2 linked regions of the Caenorhabditis elegans genome follow. The protein of the gene in region 2 interacts with the protein of the main gene of each other region in a pairwise test. Each region holds a gene or a part of one and is shown on either strand. Other genes may lie near its edges.

Evidence for each region.
Region 1: the proteins of phm-2 (region 2) and gldr-2 interact in a two-hybrid assay, tested with the Caenorhabditis elegans proteins (2 studies listed by BioGRID).

What each region holds. Positions count from the first base shown.
Region 1 is NC_003279.8:15,031,312-15,043,536, reverse strand, and holds gldr-2 (PAP-associated domain-containing protein), read right to left. Parts: upstream 7,529-12,225; 5' UTR 7,273-7,528; intron 7,169-7,272; exon of another isoform or gene 7,163-7,168; 5' UTR 7,161-7,162; coding exon 7,034-7,160; intron 6,985-7,033; coding exon 6,873-6,984; intron 6,818-6,872; coding exon 6,631-6,817; intron 6,587-6,630; coding exon 6,267-6,586; intron 5,799-6,266; coding exon 5,530-5,798; intron 5,485-5,529; coding exon 5,269-5,484; intron 4,767-5,268; coding exon 4,139-4,766; intron 3,991-4,138; coding exon 3,743-3,990; intron 3,689-3,742; coding exon 3,496-3,688; intron 3,263-3,495; coding exon 3,136-3,262; 3' UTR 3,050-3,135; downstream 1-3,049. Other genes in the region: bltp-2 (FMP27/BLTP2/Hobbit GFWDK motif-containing RBG unit domain-containing protein), read left to right, coding at 1-336, 386-577, 630-875, 1,614-1,652; cyn-5 (Peptidyl-prolyl cis-trans isomerase 5), read left to right, coding at 2,265-2,471, 2,521-2,928; F33H2.3 (Acidic leucine-rich nuclear phosphoprotein 32-related protein 1), read right to left, coding at 8,261-8,353, 8,409-9,005; F33H2.8 (TPT domain-containing protein), read left to right, coding at 10,498-10,605, 10,708-10,899, 11,167-11,261, 11,334-11,427, 11,517-11,667, 11,711-11,835, 12,051-12,173, 12,225-12,225.
Region 2 is NC_003279.8:11,512,983-11,523,265, forward strand, and holds the start of phm-2 (Pharyngeal muscle protein 2), read left to right. Parts: upstream 1-4,575; 5' UTR 4,576-4,583; coding exon 4,584-4,637; intron 4,638-4,691; coding exon 4,692-4,760; intron 4,761-4,765; exon of another isoform or gene 4,766-4,864; coding exon of another isoform or gene 4,865-4,897; intron 4,898-5,564; coding exon of another isoform or gene 5,565-5,736; intron 5,737-6,090; coding exon of another isoform or gene 6,091-6,209; intron 6,210-6,484; coding exon of another isoform or gene 6,485-6,601; intron 6,602-6,991; exon of another isoform or gene 6,992-7,120; intron 7,121-7,285; coding exon of another isoform or gene 7,286-7,504; exon of another isoform or gene 7,505-7,633; intron 7,634-8,849; coding exon 8,850-9,015; intron 9,016-9,142; coding exon 9,143-10,092; intron 10,093-10,283. Other genes in the region: F32B4.2 (Peroxisome biogenesis protein 3-2-like), read right to left, coding at 1-20, 66-211, 537-831; abhd-11.1 (AB hydrolase-1 domain-containing protein), read left to right, coding at 2,145-2,204, 2,263-2,656, 3,552-3,865, 4,001-4,126; F32B4.5 (KCTD8/12/16 H1 domain-containing protein), read right to left, coding at 4,865-4,897, 5,565-5,736, 6,091-6,209, 6,485-6,601, 7,286-7,504.

The sequences.
Region 1 (12,225 bases), 3.5 Mb from region 2:
AATTTCCTCTATACACGTACAGTTAGGGATAGTAACTGTGGAGATCACCTGTTCGAAGTTGGAAGTGTCCGGATTACGAACCTCCTTCCTGATTCAATATACAAGCATGCTCTGCACAGAGATGAGACTAGACTCTCAAGGCAGCCTGCCATTCGACTATTCGTAAGAGATATGCCTCCTGTTGGAGGTATAAGTGTCAAAGAGCACTTTGAGTTGAACATAGCTCCCATGGTTGCAGAGATTACTCATCGATTATTTGATAAAATGATGAGATTCTTTTTTCCTGGCAGGAATATTCATACGAATGATAACCTGGATCATGAGGAAGAAGTTTCGGTGAGATTGTAACAGTATCCAATTAATAATTGTAATATTCATATTTCAGACCTTCTCATTCACACGAAAAATTGCCAGCACACTTAGCATGCGAAGCAATAAATCTGCGTCGGAGAAGCTTATGCTTCAGAAATCTCTTCACGAAAAGGATGACATTGATCGAATGAAGGAGCGCGCCGACAAAGTCAATCATTTTATGTATATCAAAATTCCGGAAGTTTCATTTGTAGTATCATATAAGGTGAGAGCACAGAAAGGAAATTGAAAATGAAATGAATGAGTTTTTTTTATAGGGAAACAAGGACAAAAACCTGATAGATGTGAACCAATTCAACTTCATATTCCCCCTCTGTGAATACCATGAGCAAAATTGGACGTGGCTCGACTTGGCGTTGGCTGTCAAGCAGCACTGCAAACGAGTGCTCGTACAACAGTTTATGAAGCAGAAATTGTTGAGAAATCGAATTTCCAATTTTTCTATCGATCCTATTCCACAGGGAGTCAGTGAGGATGAGAAGAAGCGGATAGCAGTGGGAATTGTAGGTTTTTGTTTCAAATTTTAAAGAAACTTGAAGAAAAATTTTCCGCTTTTTCTGATCTTAATGCTGACAAAATCTGATCTAATGATTACTTAATAATAACTTGTTTTTAAATTTTTATTTAAAAAAAAATCGATTGATTCCACTTTGCGCTCCGGGCTGAGTTCGCAACAAATTATCCGTATAAGTATATTACAGCCGAATTACGGTAACACAAAATTCTGTGAATATGTTTTGCGCAACATATTTGACGCGCAAAATATCTCGTAGCGAGAACTACAGTAACTCTTTAAAAGAATACTGTAGAGCTTGTGATTTACGGGCTCGATTTTCGAAATGTATTTCTATTCGAATAGTGACAGCAATATTCGATTGTAGTCTTCGTTACAAGATATTTTCGCGTCAAATATGTTGTTTAATACGCATTCTCAGAATTTTTTTTTTTTTTGAACACGGCCCGGCAAGTGGTACATCCATGCAAATGCGCTCTACTGATAATTTGAGTGTAGACCAGGTTTGGGCGCGTGATAACGAAAAAAGCTTTGGTCCAAAAAATTTAGAATTTAATTTCGGACATTTTTTATATGCATCACAAAAAAACTGGACCAACCGTTTTTGAGATACACGCGCCCAAACGTCCAGGTATACGGTAGACAAATTGCGTACAGGTACCACTTCTCGGGCCGTGTGAAATCTAAAATCATAATCCTTCTCCACTACAACAATCGATTTTTCCAGACAACATACGATCAAAAAACACTGAAAGCCCCGAAGTGACGCCTCGCGTCCGGCCACTCATCACATTCTCCGATTAACGGGTCAAGGCCAATCGATCTTCGTCTCGTCTTCACCTCCCCCCCCTCGTCCCGAGTATATTACTGCGCTGTTGTTTGTGTGCATTTGGTACCACACTACCACCACCCCACCATACCGCCTGTCCTATACATTTACCAAATGGTCACTGGTCACCTTTTACTCGGTTTCCCCTTCTTTCTCTCGTCACCCTCCACTCACTCACTTGCAGTTTGCCCTCTCTATCGCTCTATCCACGTTGCACCGTGTGGTTTATGTGTGCTGACGTGTTCTTTTTCTTCGTCTTCCCTCTCAGCACGGGTCATTCTCAGAAAACTCATCTCAATTGTTCCTGCTGGTAACTGTTTTGTATTTATTTCTTCATTTTTAAGGCTTTACTTTTTCATTTTTAAACATAAAATGTCTAATGTACTCTTATCACCATGTCTTTTCGAATGTGGTATTTAATTATTGTTATCAAACAATTCGATATTTCGCTTTTTTCTTACTATTGCTTTTCTTACTATTTACATTTTCTTACTATTGCTTTTTTTTAAACTTTTTTGCTCGCAATATAACACCATAATTTTTGCAGGTATGAAGTCGCTTCTTGTTGTGGCGGCCGTGCTCGCTGTCGGAGCTCTTGCTCAGGGAGACGATGCCAAAGGACCAAAGGTCACTGACAAGGTCTACTTTGACATGGAAATTGGAGGAAAACCAATCGGACGTATCGTCATCGGACTTTTCGGAAAAACCGTCCCAAAGACCGCCACCAACTTCATTGAGCTCGCCAAGAAGCCAAAGGTTTGCAGCTCAAGAAATCGAGTTTCAAAATATTTTTTTTAATTTTCAGGGAGAAGGATATCCAGGAAGCAAGTTCCACCGAGTCATCGCAGACTTCATGATTCAAGGAGGAGATTTCACCCGTGGAGATGGAACCGGAGGACGCTCTATCTACGGAGAGAAGTTCGCCGACGAGAACTTCAAGCTGAAGCACTACGGAGCCGGATGGTTGTCGATGGCCAACGCTGGAGCTGATACCAATGGATCCCAATTCTTCATCACCACAGTCAAGACCCCATGGCTCGATGGACGCCACGTCGTTTTCGGAAAGATCCTCGAAGGAATGGATGTGGTCCGCAAGATCGAACAGACCGAGAAGCTTCCTGGGGACCGCCCGAAGCAAGACGTCATCATCGCCGCTTCTGGACACATCGCCGTCGACACTCCATTCTCTGTTGAACGCGAGGCCGTCGTCTAAGCTCAAATGACTTCTCTTTTTAAATATCGATCTGTGATTCTCCTGACTTCAGACACCTGAATTAAAGAGTAATTCGAGTTTCTTTTTAATTTATCGACTTTTTTGTGCGTTTCCAATTAAATAATATTACAAAGTATGTATTGATTAACACTATACGAACACTATAAGAAAAAAGAAGCGAATAAAAAAAAAGAACAAATTAACTTTTTAGTCAAATTCTGTGACGTTTACACCGAGATCACGCATTGTAAAATTTTTATTTGAAGAGATTATTTGGACGGCACAGCGGAAGGCGGATTTGATAGATTTCATGTGGCTAACATCGCGTACAGTTCTGAAAATTTAGTTTTTAGCTTATATTTCAGTGATTAACAGTCAAACCGTGTTTGAAGTGAGACAGGAAATTGATGTTTTCTTTTTTGGTATTATGAATTATAATCAACCATCTATACTATTTTAGATGTTGAGTTGAGCGTGAACACAAAAAATAATTGATTCAAAATCAATTTTTAGCCAAAAACTGAATAATCTTATCCTCGACACACGGTCATTTTTTCCAATATTCACCTGGCTGTGTTGATCGCATCAAACGGCTCCTCAACGACAATCGGACTGTTGATGAGATCACGGGGGAGATTTTCCCGAGGAATGACTTGACCCGAGCGGATTGAAAATCCGAAATTAGTGAAATCGAATTCATTATAGTACTGAAAGAATCCGATGAGCAACTCTCCAAGCGACCACGTGTTGGGAGGACTTGCTGAAAATGGTTAAATTTAGTAAGACAGATAATAAAAAGAGCACTTCAAATTACTGGGCAACTTGTCCGCAATATCGCCAAACAGAAGAAGCTCATTAAGCGGAAGTTTTCGATCAAACTTGTGCGGGAACAAGTATTGCAAGTTCGGAATGACTGCTGGAGTGACACCGCATTGAAGATAGTGCACAACGAGAAGAATCGTCGTGTAACTATTCAGAAATCCGTCCTGTGCGTTATTGATTCCAGTAACCATCGCCCAGTGCTTCACGAGTAGGGCCAGAGCTGGGAGCCGGGCATCCGTTCTGAAAATAGAAACAAATCTTGCAAATTTCATAATTGCGTTTCAAACTTGGCACACATTTTAATTTTTTCGGTTACAAAATTGAAGATTTTATCTAAATTCAGCCGAAATTTTGAAATATCTGATTTTTTGTTGAGAAAAAAACTAACAATGAATAGTAATGAATGAGATGTGAATTGTATATTCCTGCGATATTATTAACATTAATATCAACCTCAATTCCATCAAATTCTCCATTCAAAATCATTTTCACAATTGGAACTTTCGCCGGCACCAGCTGCATTGTCTTGATTATCTTCTTCAGAGGATGGCTCCAATGCGATCTTCGAAACGCCTTATCAATTTTGCGAAGAATTTTCGTCGAATAATTTCTGTCGCAGTGAAAATCGTCGCATACTTGTCCTTTATATCCATTTGTCGGAAAGCATAGACAAAGATCCATGTCAGAGTTGAAAGATCCACATCCGTTCACTGTTGAGCCAGTTGTCTGGAGCTTGATCTCTGTGTCAGGGAACAGCTTCTTGATCTCCGAGAATAGCTTTTGACGAGCCTCCATTTTCTTGAGAAACACAAAATCCGGTTGTGCATTTCCCAGGTAGTGATCCCATGCCAATTTAGACAATTGTTTGACAGAATTGAACGACTTTTTGGTGATCGAGTTCACAAACTTCTCGACGGAGCCAGCGATCCGCTCGTTGAGCACTACACCGATGGTTCGTGCCTGATAATTGACTGGCAACTGGCGAACTTCTCGGAAAATTTGATGCGTTTGGTGGCCTGGAAATAATTTTGTATTATATATTTGAAAATGGAACAGTTGGGCGAGTGTCGATATACGCAATTCGTGTACTCCTCGAGGAGGATCCTACAATTTTTGATTTCGGAGCAATCTTTTTTGTGTTGGTGTTAAAAATGTATGATTTTTCGCCTTAAACGCCTGAAAAGTTGATAATTTTCTCTCAGGCCGATTTTGTATCTAACGTGTTTTCTGGCTCCTTGCAGTAACCACCTCGAATTTCAACAAAAACTGGGTACCTGTGTATTACATGTCATCCTTTTTAAATTAGATGAAATGTTCATTAATTTCTCCATTTAAATTTAATTTTGTATGCACTTTTCCTCTTTAGGCTAAGAAATGGTTCTTTCCTAAGCCTACAGATACAAAACTATGGTACACGTTTTTATTTTTTATAATTTAAAAATACTTTAAAAACGAGGACATGTAATACACAAGTACCAAAAACTGTAAGGTGAGGAATACATTTCTCTCAAACTGTACCATTGTAGATCTTATTCTCATCTGAAGAACTGTTGGGAGTCTCCACCGAAATCACTGTGCTTGAGACCTCTTCTACACCGTTTCCTTGATCCCCTGCCTCAATTATCTGAATATCGTCATCTTCAAGCTCTTCCAGTTCGTCAGTCTTCTCCTCCTCGTCATTTGCATCCCACTCGTCAACTATATCACCTATTTCGTCCTCAGAACCTGAAACGTCTTGAATTTTTCATTAAGAAGCCTGCGATTGGACTTCTGACTTACCTTTTTTATCCGAAACTCCAGAAGAGGTGGTCATATTCAGAACAATGACGTCGTCGTCGTCTTCTTCTATATCCACTCGAGCACGCTTCATCGGTACAGCTTCCTTGTCTTCATCCTCAGATGCTTCAGTTGAATTCGCTTCTTCGTACTGCTGGACAAACTGGTTCGATTCGGGACGGGCACAGTAGACTTCTGTTGGACCGTGAAGCAGCTGTTGACATTCTCCAAAGTAGGTGTCAGAGTCGAGAGATGGAGATCGGCGGTTTTCACTAAAAAAATAGCATTTCATTGAAAGACGATTAGCAGCAATTTTTGTACCTTATGGGGTTATTCAAGTAGTGTCGGAAAATTAGAAAAATTACGTCACGACTGTATTCAAGTATATAAAAACATGTATTTAAATACATTTGTGACGTCACAAATGTATTTACATACATTTTGCTATATTACTTGAATAACCCCATTACATGTATTTTATTTTATTTTAAAAAAATTAATTTCCAACGGATTTTAAAATTAAATGTTAAGTTTAGCTAGATATATATCGGTTTGCTAACATGTCAAAAATCCTAGTAACTATACTCAATATTTTGAGTCTATTTTTACTAGAATTACGCATTTTCCCGTAATTTCAGAACAACCAGCGAAAAAATCGGGAATACATGAATTTTCAGCAATTTAATCTGCGTCGCGGGTTCGCATTACAATTTTTGACAAAAATCGCAGAATTAAAGTACCCCAGGCGCATTGTAGCTTCTTCGATGAGCTTCTTCTTCGCTCCGTCCATTTCTCGCATCTTGCGAAGTTTGGGCGATGCTTCGCTCGCAACTTCTCTAACGATAACAATATCATCACTGGATGATGATCCTGGAGCATCACTGGGGTCCACTGTTTCATTCGGCACGTCTTCTTCCACGTCATCATCATCATTTTTTAAAGTTTTCTTAGGAGTAACCGTTGTGTATCCAACTCCCGCGTTTTTTAAATTTGTCAGAACACGCTTTTTAAGCTCTTTTCCGCGTGCCCTCGCTGCTGGAGTCAACTCGAATTGAGTGCACTGAAAAACTTTTTTAAATCAAAATTTCGAAATGACGTTCAAACTCTGCTGATCGACAGAAAATCAGCTGCAATTGCAGCTTTGAATTGTTCAAAAAGTGGTTGAACTTGAGGAATCAACTCTTTTACTTCTTCATCACTTGCACAATTGAGAAGTTTACTTCTGAATCCATTAGAGATGTAAAGTTTGAAAAAGTCGAGCATTGCGTAACCTGCCGACTCGTCTGCGGACCTGAAATTTAAAAAGAATTGATTTAATTGCAATAATAATATGTAAATTTACTGACTGAGCGTCTTGGCCGGTTCCTTTTGAATGCAGACAACACGCTGGAATTGTGGCGAACGATATGAATCGCTTCACGTCAGCGTTCTCCGGAGGCTCTTCACCACGTTTGTTCACTGAAATACACATATATTTATTTATTTCTTTTAATTTTGTTAGTCTTACTGGAATCCATGTCCTGAACTAACAATGGGCATCCCAATTCAGTTCCCATGAATGTGAGATTTTGAATAATTGGACGGCGTGGTAAGCTTGGCTTTTTCGACTGTGACATTTTTCGTTTTCTCGACATTTCTGAAAGAGGAAATTTGATTCTTAATGAAAATAAACGCAGAAAACCTAAAAACTAAAAGAAAATCAACGTTATTGGGAGACATGTCTAGACATGAAAGTAGAAAACCTACATATAAAAATACAATCGAAGATTCATTCAAAGATGGAACGCAGAGAACCAGAAAACCTAAAAATTGGAAGAAATGGGACCTTTCATTTGATAAAGAACGCAGAAATCCTTAAAATTGTGAGAAAAAATATGCCTACGTGAAAAATGACCGCACAGCTGGATTTAGGAAGAAAATCGGTTCTTTTATGGAAAAATAAACTCTCAATACTTCGAATGTGGGAAAATATGAGCAAAACCTAACAAATTGGGAGAAATGTGGGGGAAAAGTAATGTGGACTGAAAGCGCTAAACAACACGCGCGCCCGTTATTTCGGAGTCTCGTTTTTGGCAATTTTTCAAATTTCGAGTTTATTGACTTTTGAAGTTTGCGCTACACACAGGCAGAACTATTACGGGAACAATAAATTCTGAGAATCCGTATTAATAGCGTATTGCGCAACATATATGACGCGTAAAATATCTCGTAGTGAAAACTACAATAATTCTTTAAATGACTACTGTAGCTGATACTTTCGAAACAAATTGTTTTTAGGATTGTGGCAGGCGATGTTTAATTTTCCTCTAATTTTTCGTGTTTTTTGTCAATTCGATGCCTTTTTTATAGTTTTCATCAAAAAATTAGAAAATAAACAACGTAAAATCTGATCAGCGCTACAGTAGTTATTTAAAGAATTACTGTAGTTTTCGCTGCAAGATATACATATGTTGCGCAATACGCATTCTCAGAATTCAGTGTTTCAGTAATATAATATGGTATAGAATGCACACAAAAGCCACAAAAGAAAATAAAACGATAGATTAATGTTAAAGATTTTTTATTCATCAAAAAGTTGTTGCAGTGTCTGGTGGTTTGGGTTCAGTTTTTCAGATCATTAAAGTTGGGGTTTAGTGTACAGCGCAGCCATAAAGAAAATGAGGGAAGTTTTTTTGGAAAAAATATTTGAAATAAATATATTAGGTTGAGATGATGAGTCCGTAGGCGTCGAAGTTTACTCGTCGTCGCCAGCTGCCTTCTTGTTGTCTGGCTCTTCTCCGTTATCAGAAGCTCCACGTTTTGTCCCACGTGGTTCAGCGTCTCCTCCCTGAAAAATTGAAATTAAGAACATACGTTTCTGAAATATGAGTCCGAAAACTAACCTCTGGAGCATAATCGTCAGTCTCGTCGTCGGAGAACTGGCTCTTCTCGAGATAGCTGAGTCCGGGTCCATCTTCATCGCCGCTTCCCTCCTCGCTGTCTTCTCCTCCCTCACCGGCAAACTCCTCCTCAACTTCCTCTCCATCAACATCGCATCCATCAAGAATCTTCAGCGATGGAATCATCTCGAACATCTTCTCACGATAGTCCTCGAGGAGTCCGAGACTTGGATTATTCGACAAGTCGAGCTCGAAAAGATTTGGAAGAACCTTTAAGCACCGGAGATTATCCAAAGAGAGCTTGTTGCTGGCGAGTGTGATCTTCTTAAGATCTGGAGCATTTTTCACAAGAACATCAAACGAAGCGTTGTCTCCAAGCTGATTGTCACTGATATCCAAATAGGTAAGAGCTGGAAGAGTTGGGAACCCGGCGAGTGTGGTGAGTCCGCACTTCACCATGCTGAGCATCTCCAAGTTGATAAGCTGGTCGGTGAGTCCTCCGATTTGTCCATCTTCAGCGTTGTCGAGGAATAGAGTATCGACAGTAGCTGGATCCCTCTCTCTGAGCTCTTTGACGTAGATTTCGGCCATAGACGGCATGATTGAGGATGTAGTCTGAAGGTAGAGGCATTAAAATAAAGTTGAGATGTAAGAGACAAGAGAGAAAATTAAAAAATCGAACAGAAAATGGAGTTTCTTTCCGAATTGGAAACAAGTCGAATAAAAAAAGCTATTTAGACGGTCACAATCAGTATAAAAATGCTTAGTCCATTTAGAGTCCAGTTTCTTACATCACGCACGAATGACTCAAGAAACACGGATAAAATCAATGAAACGATGGTGCAGCAAATTTTGGAAGGCTATGTTAAAAATTCCAAGCGAATAGACTGATTCTATTCGCTTTATATACGATTCTATAATGACAATGAACGCGCAACGCTCAACGAACGAACAAAATCGATACACTGCCAAGAAAAAAGGCCTAAATTAGGAGGAGAGCGCGCGAAAAACAAATTTGGTTGCGCGCGCTGAGAATCAAATGCATTAGCAGTGGAGCGCGTTTGTACACCACTGACGAGGGGAACATGTGAAGGTGCTCAGAGGAATAGCATAAGAGACTTATGTCAGTCGATAGACCATGTTTAGAAACGGTGATTTGAAAATTTTTAGCGGCGAATCTTCAGAACCAAGTTCACGGCGTACGCTCAAAGAAAGCGAAAACAACAATGTAACTGCAAACACTAACAAGGGAAGTAGACGAACTCAATCTCTGATTTTGGTATGGATAATACTATTTGATCGGAAAAATACCATGTCATGTCAAAGTCTGAGATTAATTTCATCTACTTCCTTTGTAATGGGTCAATTTTCAAAATTTTCCAGATATAAGCATAAAAATTGCATCAACAGCATTAACATATTTAACAATAACATTTACCGCACTTCACATGCTTTAATCTCAAACAAAGATTTTTTTGATAAAAAACTTTCAACTCCAAACGTGTAAAGTTGATAACTTTTCCATCAAAATCCGCGGAGACATGAGTTTCCGAAGTGAATATTGATCCCTAAGTGCTACGTTACAGTGTTGTTTTAGATGTCTTTAAGAGCATGTCGTGAGCTTGATTATGGAGACTTGCAGCTAAAAGTTTACGGATAACCGTTTCTAAACATGGTTCATCAAACGGCATAAGTCTCATATGCTACTCCGCTGGGCAGGTTTAGGGGCGGATCGAGGGCGGATCGAGAGCTTCTCTGGAAAGTGAGCTGGCGAAAGGAAAAATTATAGAACATATATAGAACATATATTGAACAATATGATTATTGAATAGAAATTTGTATTTTTTTCACAAAAAAATGAGCGAAAATTGTATTTTTCTGTGTGAAAAAATACATAAAGTGAACTAATTGGGATCAATCAAATTAAAACTAAATCTTCTATGCGTTTTTGAGCTTTTGTCGGATATTGTTTCCCAGATGTTTCCCAGAAAGTTCAATGACTTCACTCTGAAATCCACTCTGAAATCCATAAAACCTACTACACACCTCCGAGAATTCGATAAAATCTCATCAAGATGCCCCAAATTGTTCGATGCGCCTCTTCTCTGTGAAACGAAACGAACATATCCCTGCAGTATTCCACATAGATTTCACTGAGTTTGCTACCAAAATGTCAGCTGAGAAAAAGGAGGTTTCAAAGGTTTGATTTTTTTTAATTGTATTGATTTTCGATTTAAAAACAAGATTTTTAATCCAAAAAAATAACTCACTATTTTGCTTCAAAAAATAAAATAATTTACAGTCAGAAGCTGGTTACTACTTTCTCCTTGAACTTGCATCGGCATTTGTGCTCTCGGCGGCTCATAATGTACTATTTTTTGTATTGGACATTAAGCTCATCGCCACAAGCTTCGCCCAGTTTTTCTTCACCTTCATTTTTCTGAAACTGATCCATTTTGCAAATTATATTCCACAGGCGCATATTCCCAAGAAGGTAAATTTGTTTTCGCCATTTGCAAGTAAAGCTCCTAATCCGAAATTGTGACATCGGATTTTGGCACAAACAAGACTTTTCTGCTACCGTACTCGTAGGTATTGTGTCAATATCTTCCGTTTTCGGTAAGTTTAGTGTTTTTTGTGTAGAAGAAAACTACAAGACACATATGATAGTTCACCGTGCGGAAAATGTAGCTTCAAAAATTCATTTGTGCCAAGTTCAAAAACATGCAAAAAAAAAAGTGCCACGTGGAAATCTTTTCAGATACTTCTCCCGGCAGCCGGTGCCAAACTACTCGAGGTTCTGATTGCCTCTCTTGCTAACTCACACAACAGAACCGGAGAGCTGTTTCTTGTCAGGTACGATTCGCTCAAGAATAGTATTTAACCTCTGGGATGTGAAAACTCTATAATGGTTGTTTTCATTTTCAGAAGTTTCGATTTCCTATTTGCCGGATGCATTCTCTTCTACTACTCGACGCGTCAAAATGGGAAGGGCTTGACTAAAACGGACTGTTGGATGATTGTAAGATGGCCTAAAATGTAGAAAAATCGGTCGTGGGTGTTTGGGAGTGGCTGAGTTTTCTTCTGCGGCGTAATGCTAGTTTATTGCAGGCTCCCCTTGCGATCGCAGTGTCAATAGCCTGGCTTGAACCTGGACAAATGGAATATACGGGAGTTTCTTTGATGTCCGCATTTCTGCTCCCAATTTCAAGAGCCCTCTCGTTCATTTTACTAAAAAACTCGATGGATTGTTTAGGAAAAGGTTTAAAAATATTTTTCTCTTTATCAAACTAAGAGTTTTCTAGGTCATATCAATGCTTTTATGCTGGAATACACTCGATTTGTTACTATTCTACTCTTCCTACCGGCTCTTGTTTCGTATTTATTGAGCAGTGTGGAGGTCACTGCAAGCTGGGAGTCTATCGATTATGTGAGTTCTGGGTGAAAGAGATTGTGAGGGAATTGCTAAATATCAAACCAGCATATGACACAATTAAACTTGTAATATTATAACTGTTCGGTAGTTACATTTCTGAAAGTTATGTTTGGACATCGAAAAGATAATCTTTTCGAAAGATTGCTTTTTGTCAGTGAACTATCTTTTATACAATAGAAATACATACAACATTTTTTGGTTGTTTCCAGGTGCTTATGTCTCTCTCCTTCATATTCATGATCTGCAATCTCTACAGTCATCTCTGGCTTACCTTATCCCTATCACCTAGTGTCTACTTGGTTTTAGAAAACTCCAGAAACCTATTGGCATCGGTAGTTATTTTGATTAAAATCCGAATTTTGTATGAATTTTGATTTTTACAGT
Region 2 (10,283 bases):
TGGAGAAGCTGGTGAACACGCTGAAAATGCACAAAAATTCGAAGTAAAGGCTGAACATTCCATACCAAGTCAGCCGATGGGAGGTACTTTTGAATATTGGCAAAGTGAGCCGGTGAAATCGAGCCGCGGAGCACTTTGAGCAGCTGAGCAGTCTCTCCGGTGAGCACGATTGCGTTGGCCATGTGGATTGCGCCGAGCTCCTCGGTTTCTTCTGGAAAATTCATTATGTAATTTTGATGCAAAAAAATTTTGAAATTTTTGCGTTAAAACTGTGGAATATGTCCTCTCCAGGTCAGTAGCTCCGCGAGTTTTGAAGATATCAAAAAAGTATAAACTAACAAAATGTTAAGCGTAAAATTTGCTTGTAGTTGAATACTTTTTAATATCTGTAAAATTTGCTGAGCAACACGGCTGCAAACATAAGCAAAATGTTTTTTGAGAATTTATTTTTCAAACTTCCCTAACTTTGTGAATTTTCAACATTTTCCTTACTTTTTTATGCCAAAATGCTCAAAATTTTCTCATCTACAACTCACCATCCTCCAAATAAGCTTCCCCCAAATCCATCTGCTCCATGAACAGCTTCTCGCAGACTCTTCTCACATTTTCATCCTCAATATTGAACTTTGCCTTCGAATCGGCTCCTCCATCGGCTCTGGGCTCCGATGATGACATCATGACAACATCGTTGGACTCCGATGACGTGGCAGATGAAGTATCAGAGCTTTTCTTTTTCTGGCTCCAGTAGTAGTAGGCGGCAATCGCCAGAAGAGCGGCTCCGCCGACGACGACGCCGGTCACCAAGACTGGGCAACGGAACGGGCGGTGCATTTGTTTTCGCGTAGAAATTATCGATTGATTATTTCGAAATAAATTTGAATTTGAAAATTCCAACAGTTTGGTGTTTTGCTACGTGGCACGGGAGAAATTTATTTTTGAAAAATAGATTCACGGGGGGGGGGGGGGTCACGAAATTTCAAAAATAATTTTTATTTAAAAAATATGTTTCAAGAATTTTTAAAACCATTTTTGCAAAAGATTACTGTACCTTTCTGTAGCCTACACTAAAAAAATTTTGGAAAAAAAAATGCTGAGTTATATGTATGAATAGACAATTCTGCATGTAGACAGATATTGGTTTTTGGATTTTTGAAGGGGGTTTGGGCATGTAGATGTTTAAAAATCAGTCTGAAAGATTGTCGATATCCGGAAATTCACAAAACCGGCAATTGCCGGAATTGCCGATATTCACAAAACCGGCAATTGCCGAAATTGCCAAAAATTCACAAAACCGGCAATTGCCGGAATTTCCAAAAATTCACAAAACCGGCCATTACCGGAATTGCCGACATTCACAAAACCGGCAATTGCCGAAATTGCCGGAATTGCCAAAAATTCACAAAACCGGCCATTGCCGGAATTGCCAAAAATTCACAAAACCGGCCATTGCCGAAATTGCCGATATTCACAAAACCGGCGATTGCCGAAATTGCCGAAATTGCCAAAAATTCACAAAACCGGCAATTGCCGGAATTGCCGATATTCACAAAACCGGCAATTGCCGAAATTGTCGGAATTGCCGATATTCACAAAACCGGCAATTGCCGAAATTCCGAAATTGCCAAAAATTCACAAAACCGGCCATTGCCGGAATTGCCGGAATTGCCGAAAATTCACAAAACCGGAAATTGAAGGAATTGTCACAAATTTCCAAAACCGGCAAGTGTCGGAATTTTTGCCGGAATTGCCGAAAAATCACAAAACCGGCAATTGCCGAAATTAAAAATTCTCTATATGATCAAAATTATCTTCAAAAAACTGAGCAAACTGCTTTAAATTTGCAAAGAAAAAGGTACTACAGGGTAAAAACCGATTTGAAGGCTTCTAAAGCATACCTGCCTGCCTATGGCCTACCCCTTTGCTTGTAGGTTTTCGGGGAGTGTAGGTAGGTACGAGGTAGGCAGCTAGATACCTCTAAAATCTTGAAATTTTCCCACGCCAGATCACGATGAGACGAGACTCTGATCTTTCCTCCATTTTGCTAACAGACAGACCGCCCATTAAAATGGAAATTTCAAATGGTCGCTGATCACAAAGAACGAAATAAAAGCCCGGGAAAAGCTCTGCTGGAGATCATCGGAAAAATGAACTCCAAACTTCTCAACCTTGCTCGCCGCTTCCCTCACTCGGATTCCACGTCTTCAGTGAGTCAAAATCAATAATTAAATACAATTTTTAGCTCTAGATTTCTCGATATTTCAGATGATGCTGGCGAATCTCACATTTGGAAATATGAGATCCAAAGGAACCCCACTAATCCTGGTACCTGGGCTCTTTGGAACAAAAGAAAACTGGATCCAAGTCGGCAAAGATCTCAGTCAACGTCTCGGATGCATGGTGTTCGCAGTGGAGAACCGAAATCATGGGAGCTTTTCCAAAGCGGCATCGATGACTTACGAGGAGATGGCTGATGACTTGGTCGGATTCATTGATTGGGTTCGGAAGATTACTGGAGAGGATAAAGTGAATCTTCATGGACATTCGATGGGTGGAAAGGCGGTTACACAGCTGGCGACAACACCAGAATATTCTTCGAGGATTAAGAGTTTGATTGTCGAGGATATGTCACCGTTGGGGTATCCGTTGAAGAGAGCTGGTAGGTCCATGGGCTCCCATGGAGTGTATTTAGAAGAGGCTGGGCGGCAAACAATTTTTCTGGCAAATCGGCAAATTGCCGGAATTAAAAATTACCGGGAAATGGGCAAATCGGCAAATTGCCGGAATTAAAAATTACCGGGAAATGGGCAAATCGGCAAATTGTCAGCGGAATTCAACTTTCCAGAAAATCGAAAAATTGCCGGAGTTGAAAATTATCGGCAAATCGGCGAATTGGCGGCAACTTTTCATATCCGCCAATTTGCCGATTTGCCGAAAAGTTTCAATTTTGGCAGTTGCCGATTTGCCAAAAAGTTTCAATTTTGGCATTTGCCGATTTGCCGGAAATTTTGAAATCAGGCAATTTGCCGATTTACCGATAGGCCGAGCATTTTCAAATCCGGCAATTTGCCGATTTGCCGGAAATTTCAACTCCGGCAGTTTGCCGATTTGTCGGAAATTCTATTTTCGGCAATTCTCCAATTTTCCGATAAGTTTCAATTTTGGCAATTGCCGATTTGTCCATTTGCCGGAAATTGTCCAATCCGGCAATTTGCCGATTTTCCGGAAATTTCAATTTCGGCAGTTTGCCGATTTGCCAAAAAGTTTCAATTTTGGCAATTGTCGAATTGCCGGAAATTTTGAAATCAGGCAACTTGCCGGAAATTTTCAATTCCGGCAATTTTCAATTCACGCAGTTTGCCGATTTGCCAAAAAGATTCAATTTTGGCAATTGTCGATTTGCCGGAAATTTTGAAATCAGGCAATTCGCCGATTTACCGATAGGCCGAGCATTTTCAAATCCGGCAATTTGCCGATTTGCCGGAAATTTCCACTCCGGCAGTTTGCCGATTTGCCGGAAATCAATTCGAAATACAACTCCCCAATTATTCCAGAATACCTCGAATGTATCAAACAAATGATCGCCACTGATATGAACAAATCGCGAAGCGAAGTGATGGCGGAGCTCGGCGAAAAAGTGTCAAAGGTGCTGCTCTACCAATTTGTGCGCGGAAATTTGGGTGAAGATGTGAACGGAAAAGCTCATTGGATATGCAATCTGAATGTTATCGATGAGACATACATTTATCTGCTCAGCCACGACATTCGGTTCGGAGTTTTCGATGGTCCGACTCTGTTCCAGCGGGCTCCTGGCTCGGGATTCCTTCCGGCGGCTCATAAGAATCGAGTAGAGAAAATGTTCCCAATGGTAAGGAAATATAAGGTTTTCGACTAGTTTGATCTTTAAAAATGGCGGGAAAATAATCTAGAAGGGTGTGAAGACAAGCAATAGGCTAAAAATCGATAAATTTTGAAAAATAAGCTCAAAAATTCAAATTCACAGGTGCAATTCGCCGAAACTGCCTGGTCGAACCACTGGATTCATGCTGATGACCCGAAATTCTTTGTCGACTCGATTTGCGAGTTCCTGGAGGAACCTGATCAGCTTGGAATGAGAGCTTACATTTAAATTATGAAATTTGACATGGAATTCCAGCAGTTTTAGCAGTTTTTCCTCAATTTATTCGATAAATTTCTTGAATTTTACATAATTCGTTTATAATAAATGGGTTTTCTCTTATTATTCGTTTGAAAAATTGCGTTTTTGGCCTGCAAAAATATTCTAATTTGAATCTCCCTCGCTTTTCACGAAACGCGCCAACCAGTGGTTGCTGGCGCGTTTCTCGTGAGCTTGCGCGAACGCTGCGCATTTCTTTTTTTCTCATTTCTCATCTTTTCTGCGTAAAATTATCCAATTTTTCTCTTTTTTTTTAAATTTTTCACGCCAAATTAAGAATTTGCTTACGTGGCAATCGTTTGAACCGCCTAAAAAAAAGCCCGTTATTTTCGTCGAAAATCATGTTGTCGCCGAGTTGGTGTTTTATCGATTTTTTTCCACCGAAAATTTTCGATTTTCAGAGCAAAATATGCCGTTGGAAAGCGGAAAATTGATCAATGACTTGCGTGTTAGTGAATTGAAGGTAAGTGAATCATTTTTTCCACTGGAAATTCCCTATAAAATGCACTTTTTGCAGACAGAGCTCGAGAAGCGTGGTTTGAGTACTCAAGGAGTCAAGGTTGTGCTCACTGTTCGTTTGAATAAGGTAAAAATGTGTGATGTATTTATTTATCGTCGAATCTCCTGTCAAAATTGAAAAATTACAAAAAAAAACAATTTATTTGAAAAATGCAATAAAAGTCCACGTTGCTAGTTGCTACCAGTGTCCGATGGAGGGCAAAGCTGCAAAAAAATCGATATATAAATTCGGTTTCCCACCAATTGAAAGCGATACTTCTCGAATTTCCGGCCCAACTTTCCCGGAAAAAAGAAAAAGGGCTCCCCTCCCCCCATAAATTGTGCATTCTATTCACCACTTGTGTGATCAAATTAGCGTCTCAAAATGCATAGAAAAAGGGCGCTGGCTAATGAGATGAACGGAACTTGAAGAAGAATTGGCTGCTTTTTTTCCGGCGAAAATCCATTTCCAACGGCTCAGACATTTTCGAGCTCCCCTTGTGAGCACACACGTTCCGGTGGAAGAGCACGTAAAAGCGGGGGGAAAAGAAGATGAAGCCGCCCGTGATTTGATTTGAAGGGAAAATTGGAAGAAGAAGAAGAAGGAAAAAGCTTTTAAGCGGATAGAGACAAAGTTCCCTTTTGTTCACCTCACCAACTTCCGGGAAAAGTGGCGTTACTGGACGAATTGTGGGGGTTTCTACAAGCTAATGCAATGAAAATGACGAATTTTGAAGGAAAAATCAACTAATTTGATGTTAGCAGGGAAATTTTCCGACGTTTAGTGTTTTTTTTTTCACAAAAAAAATGATTTCCTAACATCAAATTAGACCAATTTCAATTCAAAATTCGATATTCTCAGCTCTAACTTTTTTCATCGTCAATTTCCTACCTTTGGCTGTCGATGGAAAACAAATTGAGAATGATGAATAAATTGCGAGTCATCTTTCGCCGCATGTTTTGGCATCTCGGACGGCGCAAATGTGTTGGAATGAATAAGTCGGTAGCCGGAAGACGCGAGTTGGTCGAACGCTTTCTCTAAGTTGCTGTGTTTTAGGAAGAATCTGGAAAGAGAGGATTGGGTTGAAGCTTTGAAATCTGGTTAACTTGTCATTTGGTAGTGCTGAAATACCAATCGTTCTGCTCAAATATTATGTTTCAAAAAGAGCTTATGAGCTCTTCTTGTGAAACTGTCGATTTCCGCTAGTGTACTCCCCCGTGTGGTGTGATCTACAAAAAATGCGGATATTTTTCCCCAAAAAAATTTCACGTCAGCACGCATTTTTTGTAGATCAAACGGAGACGGAACATTTTTTAATGGTTCAGAAATCAGCTATTATAGCTAGAAACTGTAAATTTCGCGTAAATCTACATGACGGGTTTTCAGTATTTCTGGCCGCGAAAAAGCCTGTCTCTACCTAGAAGTGTAGCGATCCATCTCGAAATCCGTGCCTCCTCCGTCTCTACACTCGTTCAACGAATCGCCGAACACTGCTCGGCACATGATTACTTTTCCGGATACGACGATTCGTAGAACCTGAAAATATCCTTTTTCTCGACGTCAAAAATGATGAGCATTTGTCTGTGTGTGTCTCTCTTCTCTTAACATACATATTCCCCTATTGCTGTATTCATAAGCAATAATAGGGGAAAATTGATGGGAGAAAACCGCAAGAGAAATGAACAGAAAAAAGGAAAAAAAAACGAGAGCAGGAAAAATGGGCTTGTTGTTGTTCCCTTTACTGGTTCGGGATTTGATGACGCGAAAGCTTTTCCTGTTGTTTTTTGAGCCATAAAATGGATATTGTGTACCTTTCGAAACGTGACTTCTGGATTGATACGTCCGGTTGAGAGAGCCGCATGACAAGAGATGCTAATGGTTGACGGGCAGGCGGCCTCCACAAATGAAATGAGCCCAAGACGTTTGGCCTGGAATAAAGAGCAGCGATTCTTGGTTTCGGTGCATTTCCTGCTTTATCGTGAACACACGTGATGCCAGGCTGTCCCATCACGGTTTGATCTACAAAAAATGCGGGAATTTGTTGTCCAAAAATATGTGGCATCAGCACGTTCTTAACCATACGAAATCAGTTGAGAATTCTGTGTCTCTTCTCCCGCATTTTTTGTAGATCTATGTAGATCAATCCCATATGAGACACTCTGACACCACGCGTGAACGTTCAATTTTCCCACGGCAAGATTATGCCAAGATCTTATTCTGCGTTCAAGGATGATCGAATTCACTACCAGAAAGCTTAATAGTGTGTTCCCCAAGTAAACGATAATTTTTTTTTGAAATTTTGTCCTAAAATATCCAAAATAGGAGTTTTGAGACAATTTTGAGCATTTTTGAGCATTCTAGCTCCCATTTTCGCCAATCAATCTGGTAATTGAGCTTAGGGGGAATTTTTATGCTGGGGAACGAAAAGCTAAATTATGCATTTCCACGGTGAAATGCTCATTATCCTAATTGAGCTCCATCTAGAAATGACAGAATTATGGGATTTTTTTAAATCTCGTATAGCTCTTTCTCATTTCGGAATCCATAAATCCAAAGCAGCCGAGCTCTTACAAAAAGCTTCCATTAACTGCTCGCGGAGCCCATAGACTCACCTCAACGGCCAATCGGGCCCACTGATCGAAAGATTCGGAGACGATAATGCTCATGTCACTGCGACGAAGCGCCTCGACGAGGATCCGCACAATCTTGTCATCTGAATCAGACGTTGCGTCGGGCGAAGTGGCGAGCAACGATTGTGGAGCACGTTGAAGTGTGGCACGAGTCGTTGAAATTGTTGCTCCGTGAGCACAAATAATTTGTGCAACTTGCATGTATGTGTGTGTGCGTTCACTTCTTCGTTTATCTCTAGTGTTTGTTAGCAGAAAGAAAGAAGAAGAATAGGAGGCAAAAGAGGACGTCAAAGACTCTTCAGAAGACTGAAGAAAACCCGCAAAACGGGAGAGGAGCCCCCCAAGAAGAAGGCCACGCCCAATTTTGTGCTCCATTTCTGTGTCTCTTCTCTCGTGTGCTCTCCCAGTTCTTTTTTTGAATGTTTGGGAGATGCGCGAAAAGTCGAGTGTTTACAGTGGGAATAATGATTGTGGAAAAATAAAGTTTTTCTCCATTTTCCGATATTGGTATTAGTTTCAGCTCCGCCGACGAGCTAAATAAATTTTGTTTGACTCAGCGCCTTGGGGGGCCCGCTTTTTGTTTTTGTTCCAGCAGCGGCACCAGAGCTCGCGTGAAGCTCCAGACTCGATGTCATTGGCACGTCTTCTTCTTCTTCTTTTTCTTTTTTTTCCCCTTTTTCACCCCGTCTCATCTAAAGTTTGTGTACATATATACACATACATAACACGGAGGAGAAATAGAGAAGGATGGCGGCGCAGTTGAGGAAAAATGATGAATTATACTGCTTCTTCTTCTTCTTTTGCCACCATTTTTGCAAAGGGTGTTCGGAGAGAGTTTACGGGATGAAGAGACGCAGGAAACTCGGAGTTTCTTAACATGGCGCTCTTCGTTCTTTTTTTTTTTTGGTGCTTTTGGTGAATGGGTGGGTGGCAATTTGTCAGCAGTCAGTCACTTTTGAAGTTTCCGGCGGCGAGATTTCTATCTTTGTTAGCTGCTGGGTTCCGGTTGTCTCGTTTGTCTCGCGGAGCCCGTTTTCCCATTACGGTTTGATCTACAAAAAATGCGCGGGAATTTTTGGCCCAGAAAATGTGACGTCATCGCGTTCTGAACAGTTTAGATTTATGCGTCTCTTCTCGCGCATTTTTTGTAGATCTACGTAGGTCAAGACGAAATGGGACACTCTGACACCACGTGTGAAATGAGAAGGCACGTGGATTCCAGGCTTTGTCGATTTACGCAGCTCTCGTGTACTCCTCCTGAGGAAGAGATATTTGAACGTTTTTGGCGAAAAATTGTTGATTTTTAATCATAATTCTGGTCATTTTACCCTTTAATTATAGGGTTTTAAGTGGAAATTGATTTTTTGTTCCACAGTAAATACATCGATTTTCACTTAATTTCCTACAGGATAAAATGACCATAATTATGATTGAAAATCGACCATTTTTCGCCAAAAACGTTCAAATAATCTCAAAAAAAAAATTTCTAAATTGACATACATAGCCTTCAAAATTTAATTTTTAAGCCTAAAACCGCATTTTTCAGGCTCTCCGAGATGAGGGACTCGATCCAGCAGATCACGTATTCGAGCATGCAGTGAGCCCGATGAAAAAGAGCACACGCCGGAGCAACGAAATGGCACGAGCAGCGGCTGCAGCAGCAGCAGAAAAAGTGGAAAAGGGTGCAGGAGACGAAGGAAATGATGAGAATGGTTGGTTTTTTAGGCTTTTTTTTTTCGTTGATTTTTTGGTGGTTTCTTCTATTGTTGGAATTAGATTTACTTGATTATTGGGGGGTCAGTTTCATCAGGAACAATCAATGGAGTTTTTTTTTGTCAGTTTTAGTCGAGGAGAAGGAAGAAGAAGAGGAGGAGGAGGATTCACACGATTTGCAAATTATTGAGGATCATGAGTTGGAGGTGCCAAGTGATGAGAAAGATGATACATTGGTGGAGGATGAAGAGTTTGAGGAAGCTGAGCAAGTTGAGCCGGAGCCTGAGGCCGTGGAGCCAGTTGTCGAGGAGAAGCCCGAGGAGAAGCTTGAGGAGAAGCCCGAGGAGAAGCTTGAGGAAAAGCCCGAGGAAAAGCCTGTTGAGCCAGAAGTCGTTACAGTTGAGGAGCCGGTGGCAGAGGTTATTGAGGTGGAAAAGGCAGTCGCGGAGCCTGTTGAGCTGAAAGAGAAGCCGGAAAAGGAGCCGGAGGTTGTTCTTGTCGAGGAGCCCGTGGAGCAGCTGGAAAATGAGCCCGAAGTGGTGCCAATGGAAGTTGAAGAAGCAAAGAAATCGGATGAGCAAGACGGTGAGGACGAGTTTGAGGAGGATGATTCATCGTCGGATATTGAGATTATTGAGCCAACTCTACAAGAATCGGAGCCGCTAGCGGAGGAGAAAGTGGAAAAAAAGGAGAAGAAGCCAGAAGAAATTCCACACAATTTGGAGCAAAATGAGCCAATTTCTATGGAAACTGAGGAGAAAGTTGAGGAAGAAGTGATCATTCTCAACTCATCGATCAATAATGTCAGTCAGGATGATGAGATTGTTTTGGACTATGAAGAGGATTTGCTCGAGGATCCACTGGATGAGCCCATTGAGCAAAAGGAGCCAAAAGCCGCTGAGCCAACACCGAAACAATTGCAAAAAGTGGAGGCATCAACTCCACAGGCAACACCATCAAAAGCAGCTTCTTCATCTGCCGGCAGTGGAAAATCGATGCTCTTTGGAGATGACGTCAAGAAGACGTCGATATGGATTCGTGGAATGACTCCGGCGACGAAGGCTTCAAGTGTCAAGGTAATCGCCTCGCGAAACTGTTGAGCTTTTTTTTGAGAGGAATAGCGTTAAAAAACTGAGCCAAATTTGGAGCATTTTGAGCAGAATTTGGCTCAAAACTGCTGAACATTTTGGTTTTAGACGGTGAAAATTGAAGAATTTAGATTTTTCTAGCAAAATTGAGCCAAAAGAGCATCCCCTGCTCACCCCAA